3 linked regions of the Sus scrofa genome follow. The protein of the gene in region 1 binds, or shares a complex with, the protein of each later gene. Links are inferred from orthologs where the notes say so. Each region holds a gene or a part of one and is shown on either strand. Other genes may lie near its edges.

Region 1 (3,647 bases):
TAACCACTGAGCCACGACGGGAACTCCTCTAATTTTTAAAAACTGTTATGTTATAGGTTTTATTCCGTTATAATTCAATTTGATACTCTGCTAACTTTAGGTGTGAGAAAGTTAAATAGGAGGAAATGTGACTCAAAGGCTGGAGAAAGGATTCAGATCTCATTTGTTACCAACATTTTAAATGGATTAGAAACACAATTTATTAGCAAATAGGCACAAGAATCTGGATAAATGATAAGAACAAAAAAAATTTTTTTTTGTTTTTTGTTTTTTGTCTTTTTGCCATTTCTAGGGCCGCTCCCGAGGCATATGGAGGTTCCCAGGCTAGGGGTCTAATCGGAGCTGTAGCCACCAGCCTATGACAGAGGCACAGCAACGCAGGATCCGAGCCGCGTCTGCAACCTACACCACAGCTCGTGGCAACGCCGGATCGATAACCCACTGAGCAAGGGCAGGGACCGAACCCACAACCTCACGGTTCCTAGTCGGATTCGTTAACCACTGCGCCACGACGGGAACTCCACAAAAAAATTTTTTTTTCTTTTGGTCTTTTTTTGCCTTTTCTAGGGCTGCTCCTGCAGCATATGGATGTTCCCAGGCTAGGAGTCCAATCGGAGCTGCAGCCACTGGCCTACACCACAGCCACAGCAATGCTGGATCTGAGCCATGTCTGCAACCTACACCACAGCTCACAGCAACGCTGGATCCTTAATTCACTGAGCAAGGCCAGGGGTTGAACCCACAACCTCATGGTTCCTAGTTGGATTCGTTAACCACTGAGCCACGGATGGGAACTCCAAGAACAAAAACTTTCTAAAACCTTAATTTATTAAAATTTTCCTTGAAAATGTAGATTTGGCCAACCCAACCACAATCTCAGTGAGCAGTGTGAGGCAGTACAGCGCAAGTTTAAAGGAGCTAATGTTAGTGCTATATAGATGCTGATTAAATTAAAAAAAAAAAATCCACAGATAATAGTTCACAAAATGGGAAGAGACCAGTATGGCTTTTAAAACAATGTGATTCTATGAGGCACAACCTTTACCTCCATTCCCTCCAAAAAAGCTGAATTGTGTAGAGATGGAGGGGAACAAAATACAAGAAATGATACAAACAGACTTCGGGCTTAAGGTCAAGGATCAATCAAAAGGAGGACAAATCCACCTTTTTTCAGATGAAACTATCGGTAGTGAATGTCTTTAAAGTTTAAAATAATGGGCATTGTTCCACCTGCTCCTAGACGAGCATCACCTTCTGCTCAGCCAACCGTGACCTGGCCTGGCCTCCACCATTGCTTTGAGGCTGCCCCTGCCAGAGCACAGCTACACATGGAGTTGCCCATGAGAGGCACTGATCAACTGCTAATCCAGTTTTGTTATTTAGAATGTGTACCCTGGTGACTTTCCACTTGGAGCTCATTTTTAAAAGTCACTCTTAGACAGAAATGAAGAGACATTTTTCAAAAGAGGTAGTGCACAGGGCCGAAAGGCTCATGAAAAGATGCTCAACATTAATAACCATTAGGGAAATGAATGTCAAAACCACAATGAGATATCACCTCACACCAGTCGGGAACAGCTATCATCAAAAACAGTAACAAAAAAACAAAGCCCAAAAACCAAAAAATTCCAAAAAACCTAAAGCCCACAAATAACAAATATTGGTGAGGGAACCCTCCTACACTGTTGGTGGGACTGTAAATTGGTGCAGTTGCTGTGGAAAACAATATAGAGGTTTCTCCAAAAACTGGAAAAGAACCACCACATGATGCAGCAATTCCAACAGTGGATATATACATCTAGGGGGGAAAAAAACAAAACTCACCAACTCAAAGGATATGTGCACCTCAATATTCATAGCAGCATCATTTAATTTTTCTTTTTATGGTCGCACCCAGGGCATATGGAAGTTCCTGGCCCAGGGACTGAATGTGAGTCACAGCTGCAACCTTTGCCAGATCCTCTAACCGACCGCGCCAGGCCACAGATCGAACCTGCATCTCCACAGCGATGCAAGCTGCCCTAAGTCAGATTCTTAACCCACTGTACCACAATGGGAACTTTTTTTAAACTTCGTATTTCATTTTTTTGGAGTGGGGGGTAAAGGAGAAAAAGATAGCTTTATTGCTTTGCCAGGCAAAGGGGGCCATAGCAGGTTAGTGCCTTAAAGACTGGCCCCCTTTTTTAAAAAAATAATTTCCAAGATGTGAAAGCAACCCTAGGTGTCCACCAAGAGACGGATGGATAAAGATGTAGTGTCTATATACACACAGTGGAACACTGCTTGGCCATAAAAGTGAAAGAAATGTTGCATCTGCAGCAACATGGATGCACCTGTAGAGCCTTACACTAAGTGAAATAAGGCAGAGGGATAAAGACAAACACTCTACGTTAAAACTTATATGTGGAATCTGAACAATACAACAAATTAGTGAAGATAACAAAAAAGAAGCAGACTCATAGATACAGAGAACAAACTAGAGGCTACCAGTGGGGAGAAGGGAGAGAGGAGGGGCAATAGAGGGGGAGGGAGTAAAAAGGACAAACAATTAGGTGGAAAGTAGGCTACAAGGACATACTGTGCCATACAGGGAGTATAGCCAATATTTTATAACACTCTAACGAAGTATAACCTTTAAAAATGAAACAAGCAAAAAACCACAGGTACCATTTTTTTTTTTTTTAAATGAAAACGAGTTTCTAGCACAATGCCTGGCTTACAGAAGGACACAATAAATATGAATTGAATGAATGAGCTTTCATAAAAAATAAATAAATAGATTTCACAACAATGAAGCTAAAGTTACCAAATAAATAATTAAAAATAAAAACAAAAAGGAAAGACAGAGAAAAAAGGCTACATTCAGACATCTTTTCTGTGCTGGAGTAAAACCTGGCATCAGTGTGGGTGTGAGTGAACTTACTGACAAGGCACTTCTCAGGAAAGCCGTACGAGTGAAGGGTCAGTGTGAGCAGATACATACCACAGGCTGTTTCGTGATGTCCACCAGGTCCTTCAGGTTGTAATACTGGTGTTTCTCAAAAGCCGAAAACAGCATATCCAAAACATATTGCTTATCAGCTCGGGCTCGTTTTCCATCTTCTTTCTTTTTCCTTTCATATTCAATCTACATGCAAAAAGAAAAAGGAAAAAAAGAAGACGACGTCAATCCAAGACGCTCCCTCTGAGACGGAGCATTGTCTTTTCAGCCGTTCACACGACTGTGAGACGTTCAGTCATGAGGCAGCAGGTCCAAGAGCAGCGTTTGGAACCGGGGGCTCACTGCTCGCAGGGCTCCTCTCACCTTTCAGGCTCTAAGAAGGTGTGCATGCCTACTGGAAACCATTTTCATTATTTCCTAAAGCTTTAGGGAATGTGTCCATTTCCCCCCAAACAGCCTTCTTTGCTGAAATTATATCAATGCAGCATGGCTACTGGTTAGTACGATGCTGATCACAAGGTCTAACTGCAATTCTTTGTTTCTGATTACCCACAATACAGTAAAAATAGTTTATCTGATGGATACAGTTTGGTAGGTAACATCTTTCAAAACTGGAGTTTTCTCAGGGCAGGAAGAGGGCTAAGGGGCAGGCGGAATGTGGAACCGGTTCTCTAGGAATGAAACATTGGTAAAAAGGAAAGAACAT
Region 2 (3,743 bases), on another chromosome or scaffold:
CTGCTCTCTTGCAGCCATGAGAGTTGATGGGTCAAGGGCAAGTATTCAAGATGTTAGCACGTGCTGAACATATGGAATCACTGAATTTTTGCAACATTTAAAAAAAAAAAAAACCAGGAAAAGTTGTGCGGTCATAATCCAGGTGGTGACCTTTTTTGGGGGGTTAGTTTTAACATTTCTACCACCTTGAGAAGTTATTTGAAGTAAGTGGGCTTGGAGAGGCCGGGACTCTGGGGAACGGAAATTTAAAGAGACTTTGTAGTTGTACTGATGGAGACAGACAACTCTGCTGGCTTCAGGGATTATTAATTGTGGAATGTAATAATATGTAATAATTGTTGAATGTAGTAAGAGGGGAACCAAATCAGTTCCCTTTCAGGAACTCATACACAATTTTGCAAGCGAAAGGCCCACCCTCAGCAAGGCGTGCTAACGCTTCAGCAACTAGGAGTCTGACCTTAGCTCACGCTCGGAGATGACTCCGCACTTAAAACTTTTGCCGGAAGCCGGGCCACGTGACCCGCCCTTTTCCACAGCCATGCCTAGCGGGGCAGCCGCCAGAGCTCCTACATTTCCTAGCCCCTCCAGCGTGGGACAGCTCAGAATCTCCCGACAGGAGGCGGAATCAGCTAGGTTTCGACTCGAGCGTCGCCACAACTCACGCTTTTCTCCAACAGAGCTTTGCAAGTTCTTCATCCCAAAACAGCAGCCGGAGACTTCCGCCTGGTTGCCGACCACGTGATCACGCGACATTTGGGGAGACCGCGGTCGGACTTCCCTACTTAAGTCCCCGGGTCCCGCCCACACAACACCCTCCCCTGAGCGTGACGACGCGGCTCGCGGCGGCCTCCGCCCCGGCGCGCCTGCGCACGCGGCTCTCGCGGTGTCTTGCGCTCAGCCCCGCCCACCTCTGCCCCCGCCCTTTCCGCCCCTCCCTCCCCCTCCGCCCTGTCTCTCGGCGGCAGCGGCGGCAGCGGCGGCTCGCGCAGCTCGTTGGCTCACTATATAAAGGGAGAAGCGGGCGGACCGGACGGCTGGAGCTGCAGCCGGTGGCGGCAGCGGCGGCGCGGGGAGCGGCGACCAGTGGTGGTTTCCCTCCTTGGCGCGGGGTGGGGAGCGGGCAACGCCCCCCAAACCCCAGAAGGGTCGTGCCCTTTTTTTTTTTAAGGGCGATCCTCGAGTTTTTAGCTCCGGGAGGACTGCCCCCTCCTCTTCCTCCCCTCGCCGATCCCCTCTAATCCAGCAGGATCCGATTTTGTTTAAAATTCCCCCCCCAATTTTGCGGTGGCTTGGGTCACCCTCTGGGTGTTTTTTTTTTTTTTTTTCGTTTTGTTTTTATCTTGTTTTCTCGGGGCTTGCCCCCCTCTTGTTTGTGTTGTGTGTGGAAATGGCGAACTCGGCAAATACAAACACCGTGGTAAGGACGTGGTTCGGTGGCCGGCGGGGGCTTCGTTCAGGCGGCAGCAACGGCCGGACCGGGCGGGGGCGGGGACGGCGGCGACTCCCGGCCTCAACTCTCAGCTGCCCGCGCGGCTGCCGCCGCTGCCGCCGCCGCTTCCCGCCTCGGGCGGAGCGGGCCGGGGCGCGGGGCGGCGGGCGCGGGGGGGTGCCGAGGGCTCGGGGCCGCGGCGGCAGGGAGGGCGGGGGTGCCGGCGGGGCCTGGAACTGCCGCGGGGCGGTCCGGGCCGCTGAGGCGGTTGAGGCCGGGATGAGCGCGCGGCCCTGGCCCCAGACCCCATCCGCCAGGAGGGAGGGCGGGAGGGGAGCCTCCGCTTCCTCCCCGAAGCGGGTCCTGCCGCGCTGGCTGGAGAAGGGCTCTCCGAGCAGCCTCAAAACAAAAACCGTGTCTTGGGAACTGGGCGAATCCCCAAGACCCACCGCGATCCACTTTAACGCAGTGGAAGGCTAATGGCTACTTGGGGGTTACTTTGGGTGTTGTGGCGGGTTGTGCTTAGGAGGCTTCACTGGGGCCATTTTACGTTTAAGAAAAAAAAAAAAAAAAAAGGACGAAGGTTGAAAAGCACTTATCTCGGTTCCTTCCGAATCGGTAAAATGGCGAAGGGGAAGCAACCCCCCCCATCGTATCTTCGACTAGCAAAAACACCAAAACAAACAAAGCTTACAGTGGTCAAAGTGCCCCCACTTTCGCCTCGAAATTTGCCTACTTCTCACCGTTTGTCCCTTTTTTCTTACTTGCGATCACGTAGGTTTGCAAAAAGCAGTCACATAAATAACCTTTTCAGTCACCAACGCAATGTGATCACTAGTCCACCCCACTCTCTTATTTTTATTGTGACAATAAAACACGTTTTTGCCCGGTCCCAAATGCAGACAAGCCCGCGGCCGCCCGACTCCGTACCGTTGACGACTCGGGTCGATCCATCATGGCTGCGGCCGCTTACCCTGCCTTTCAGTCCCTGAGCCTTGTGGTCCTCCTCCCTTTGGCTGCCCTGTTTATATAGAGCCATTGCCGCTCTCTAATATAGACTCTGCCAGGATGGGAAGGTGCTTTTCAGGCCTACGTCACCGCCTCTCCATTTAAACACCAGATCCGGCTTTAAATAGTGAGAGCTGCTGAGAGCGGGGCTGGGAGGTGCGTGCTCTCGAGGCGAGAGGCAGGCGTGTGTAGAGCTCAATTTATTTCCAAGTCCTTTCGTACTCTAATTTCATACCCAATCGGGGCTGCTTTAGGAGCCCTAAGTTTTTGTTTTGATGCAGCAGCTGGGACTTAACCTTTGTTAGGGGAAAATAGAATTGCTGTCCCTTTTTATTTTGTGTTTTGTTTTTAAAGAGAATTTTAGCTTAGATGTCTTAATTGTTCCTGTATTGAGAAGATGCATGCATTATTTTTTTTTGTTTTTTGTTTGTTTTTGAAAAGCTTTAGGCATTACCTGTTAGCTGTAGAGGATTTGATTTTGGTAGTGCTTTGTTTATCAAGTATTCAGGGAATGTTAGACTATAGCTCGTAATACTTCATTATTTTTCCTATAATAAATATTTGAGACACGAAGCTTTTCAAAGTAGATAAGTATCTAAAGCTTTGACATAGGACCTCCTGTCAACAATACGTGTATGTATGGGATATTATGAATAATGTGAGAAGGCTTAGTGCAAACTGGGTATTCAAAAATTAAAATTCTAAGTAGACGGTATTTTCATTTATTTGCATGGTAATATGGTATCCAATATAGATATTAATCCAGTTTATTTTCCAATATTGTACTAGAGTCTCAAACTTTTGAAGAAACCCTTTAATCATTAGCTTATGCCACTGATGGCCCTTTAATTAAAGTTTCAAAGTTTGGACTATCTTGTTTTTGAAAAACAGGACAAACCTAGATTACTATGTATTTCATAAAAGACAAAAACTTTGGCTCAAGTAAAATAAAGTTTAGCATTTTAAATGAACTTGCTTAGTTCACATAGTGCCTATGTATTCACATATTTTTAATAACATCAGTATTTTGGACACTTTTTAAATTAATGAGCAATCCTGAATTACTCTTTATGCGTATACTTCTGAAGAATACACATTTCCCTTCCTTCAGCTGTAGTGCATGTGAATCTCTGTGGTCACTTTGCAAGTTAATTAAAGCACCTAGGCAAACTCTTAAAGTAAGATTGATTCATTAAGTAGGGAGTTCCAGAGGAAAGCACATTGTACCTATAAATGTGTGGATCACCAAGCAGATATTTTTAGGGGTGACTGACTTCAGAAACACTAAAACAGCATCTAGTTTGCT
Region 3 (3,747 bases), on another chromosome or scaffold:
AGGGAGCCATGTTTAATTAGCAAAACCTAGGAGTAAGGCATAAAGCTGGCAGACATCAGCACCCCAGTCCCTCGTGTGCTCCTCTGTGGGACAGTTCTCACCCCCTCTGCTCCCTGTCCACACCCACTAACCTTCTGCTGCCGCCCTTTGGCCTCCTAAGACCCTGCCCCTGGGAAGAGATGCTGTGGAAAGCAGAATGTGAACAGATCAGACGCTGAGGAGGAACAGCTCCACCTGTTGTGTATAAGTGGGCATCCAGGTGTATATCCACTCTTGTGTGGCGGGCTCTCAAAACCCCTTGATGCCCCTGGAGCCTCGTCAATCTGAGGCCCCATGAGATTTTAAGAACATAGCCTGCCCTGGGCTCTGGACAACATCTCCACACTGTCTTTCTAAAAGCTGCAAGCAAGGTGTCAGGAAAAATCCCTTTGAGAACGTGAGTTCCCTGCTTCTCTCGATTCCTGACCCCCGACCTCCCAAGCAATCACACAGCATACCCGGGAGTACTGCAGCTTGTCCACAATGTCGTCACTAGTGAGGGGGATTAATCCTGGAAGACAGAGAGAAGCAGTTTAAACAAGGTCAAGGGGCCAAGCCAAAGGAAAAGCCAGCAGTCCCCTTGGGAGTGAGGAGACTTCCTCCCCTGAAACCGGCAGAGCCCCACTGCCCTGCCCTTTAACTTCCCAAACCCAGCACTCACCAAGCCTGTGAGCAATGAACTCGTCGTGAAGGACTGAGGAATTGGCATCAATCTGAACCCAGTCAATTGCTAAAGAAATAAAGGAAGCAGAGCAGATATGCAGTTTAGCCACCAAATTCACCTGAAGGCTTAAGAACAGTGGTTCTTCAGATTTAAAAATTATCTAATGCTTACCACATTGCAGACACCAAGGCCAGGCTGCCAGAGACTGATTCTGCAGCTCTAGAGGGGGGCCCAGGAAGCTACACTTTAACAAGAACCACATGCCAACATGCTCAGGTGGATCTGATACAGGGAGTACCCTACACCACCCAGAAAAACAGCGACTTGTAGACTACTACAGAAAGGTGTTTCTCTGAGTTGACTATTTCTGTGGGAAGCACTCTAGTCTACCATTCATGCCATCACCAAATCCAAGAACACAAACTATTTGAACACCTCAAAGTTAAACAAATCTCACAAAAACAACACAGACTTATGATCCATAGTGCTTTTTCTCCCCCTCTGATTTTTAGGGCCACCTCTGCAGCATATGGAAGTTCCCAGGCTAGGGGTTGAATCAGAGCTACAGCTGCCAGCCTATGCCACAGTCACAGCTACTCAGGATCCGAGCCCTGTCTGAGACCTACACCACAGCTCACCGAAATGCCAGATCCCCGACCCACTGATGGAGGCCAGGGATCGAACCCACAACCTCATGGTTACTAGTCGGAATCGTCTCCACAGCACCACGACGGGAACCCCATATCACAATTTATGGTATAATGACCAGACTGATTGCATTCCCAGTGCCTCGCACCACTGCCTGGTACTTATAAGCTCTGTAAACTCAGTGGATGGAACAGATTCATAAAAAGATATTTACCGGTACTGAGCACTCACTAAATACAAGGCAATTAATAGAGATTACCCCACTTAATCCTTGACGTCACCCTGATAACTACTATTAGCGTCCGAATGTTAAGAGGAAATTGCAGCACAGTTTGATAACTTGCCTAAGTTTCACAAAGACAGTATTCGACCTCAAGTCTGCAAACTCCTGAACCTGTGCTCTTTACCTCGAAGAGTGGAACTGAGTGGCCCGTGGGAGCCAGGGAAGGGGCCACAGTGGCCCTGGGGCAAGAGCACGGGGTCCGATCAAGTCTCCAGCATTGCTGTTTTCGCAGCGCCCCCACCCTGGGCCCCAAACAAGGCTGGAGTCAGGAACGCCAAGGTATGGGGAGGTGGGGGAACTGGTGGCCCTGACCACGAGGAGGCGAGGGCCGCTTACCTATTATGGGCACCTCAGCGATGAAGACCCTCCGGATAGAATTCGCCACCCTAAGGAATGAAAACCAAGCGGCGCGTGGGCACCGCAGACTCGACAGCCGGCCCCGCGCCCCACGGCTCCCAAAGCAAAAGCCCCGGCTCCGGGGCCAGTTCAAGAAAGACAGACCCCCGCCCCTCCAGAGCCGAGGCCCCGGGCACTCTGAAGCCGCCAGCCCCTTCCCTCAGCACCCTTACGCCAGGTCCGTATTCTCGATAATGAACTTGACATTCTCGTCGGTGAGCTCGGTGATCCGCACGGTTGGCTGGTTGGCATACGGCATCGCGCCAGACTGCTCGCGGGGCCTTGGGGGTCGGTTCTGCTGCTCGCGCCCCTGCGCCTGCGCCTGCGCCTGCGCCTGCGCCTACGCCGCCACCGGAAGTCGTTCAGCGCGGTCCCGCCGCTTCCGCAGAGACACGCTCAGAGCGCCGCCTGCTGCTCGGAGGCCAGGCTGCTCCGACGTTTTCTACCCTCAACCTACTTCAAAAGGCACCAGGTTCAACCATTTAGAAGGCGACTTAGTAAAACATGCACACGCCCTTGACTCCACAGAAACACTTCTAGAAATTCATATGAGAAGTGCGTGCAGTTGTAAGCAAAGATACATGTACAAGGATGTTCATTGCAGCACTATAACAAAAAACGATAAATAAAACGGATTGCCCACTGACACAGACCTGGTTAAATATACATAGGAATACTATAACAGTGTTTTTGGGGTAGGTTGTTTGGGGGTTTTGGGGGGTTTTGGGGGGGTAGGGGGGGTTGGCATGTGAAAGTTCCTGGGCCAGGGATCAAACCCATGACACAGCAGCAACCTGAGCCACTGCACTGACAACAAAAGGCCTTTAACTATATATATTTTTTTCTTTCTCCTTTTTAGGGGTGCACCTATGGCACATGGAAGTTTCCGAGCTAGGGGTTGAATTGGCACTGCAGCTGCCAGCCTATGCCACAACCATAGCAACACCGGATACTTAACCCACCCACGGAGGCCAGGAATCAAACCTGAGTCCTCATGGATACTAGTCAGGTTCTTAACCCACTGAGCCACAATGGGAACTCCCAACAATAATGTCTTTTAATGAGGTTTGTACACTGATGGAGGAACAAAAAGACAGTCAGTCCTCCCTATCCAAGGGTTCTTCAAGAAGACTGAAAGAAAAAAAAAAGTCCATAGAGTTCCAAAAAAGCAAAACTTAAAAATTTGCTCACACCCAGCAAATATTTACATAACATTAAACATTGTATTAAGTACTATAAGCAATCTAGAGATGATTTGAATTATGTGGATGTGTGTGGATTATATGCAAATCTTATGCCATTTTATATAAAAGAATTGAGCATCCAGATTTTGAGAGGGGACGGGGGAGTTCTAGAACCAAAAGCCCAAAAGACTGAGGGATGACAATACTTTACATGTACTTAGCAAAATTTGCTTGAGTGATAGGTTTATACCCTTTCCCTTCCACTCCTAAGTCTGGATCATGCACTTTTGACACTGCAGGAAGATGCAGTTCTCTTCAACCTATCACCTCCAGTTCTGCGGAGGTGGGTGGGTTATGATCTCTTCATCTCTGCATCTCCAGTGCCTGGCAGTGTGTGTCACCCAGGGGCAATGTACGACAAAGAATTATGCAAGTCCCCTAAACAGTCCCCCTAGAGAGAAGTTTGAATAGGCCTCAAAAAGGTGGCAGGAGCTCACACAGAGAAGCCCTAAAATAGAACTTGGCAGGTGACA

Evidence for each region.
Region 2: GTF2F2 (region 1) and GTF2A1 share a complex: the UniProt entries of both Homo sapiens proteins name them as parts of the TBP-based Pol II pre-initiation complex. The link is inferred for Sus scrofa from reciprocal best matches to the Homo sapiens genes GTF2F2 and GTF2A1.
Region 3: GTF2F2 (region 1) and POLR2C share a complex: the UniProt entries of both Homo sapiens proteins name them as parts of the TBP-based Pol II pre-initiation complex. The link is inferred for Sus scrofa from reciprocal best matches to the Homo sapiens genes GTF2F2 and POLR2C.

What each region holds. Positions count from the first base shown.
Region 1 is NC_010453.5:22,001,779-22,005,425, forward strand, and holds part of GTF2F2 (general transcription factor IIF subunit 2), read right to left. Parts: intron 3,128-3,647; coding exon 2,984-3,127; intron 1-2,983. UniProt on the Homo sapiens protein: TFIIF is a general transcription initiation factor that binds to RNA polymerase II and helps to recruit it to the initiation complex in collaboration with TFIIB.
Region 2 is NC_010449.5:104,006,516-104,010,258, reverse strand, and holds the start of GTF2A1 (transcription initiation factor IIA subunit 1), read left to right. Parts: upstream 1-940; 5' UTR 941-1,387; coding exon 1,388-1,417; intron 1,418-2,359; exon of another isoform or gene 2,360-2,446; intron 2,447-3,743. UniProt on the Homo sapiens protein: TFIIA is a component of the transcription machinery of RNA polymerase II and plays an important role in transcriptional activation. TFIIA in a complex with TBP mediates transcriptional activity.
Region 3 is NC_010448.4:19,392,210-19,395,956, reverse strand, and holds the start of POLR2C (DNA-directed RNA polymerase II subunit RPB3), read right to left. Parts: upstream 2,389-3,747; 5' UTR 2,290-2,388; coding exon 2,204-2,289; intron 2,021-2,203; coding exon 1,971-2,020; intron 770-1,970; coding exon 701-769; intron 551-700; coding exon 498-550; intron 1-497. UniProt on the Homo sapiens protein: Core component of RNA polymerase II (Pol II), a DNA-dependent RNA polymerase which synthesizes mRNA precursors and many functional non-coding RNAs using the four ribonucleoside triphosphates as substrates.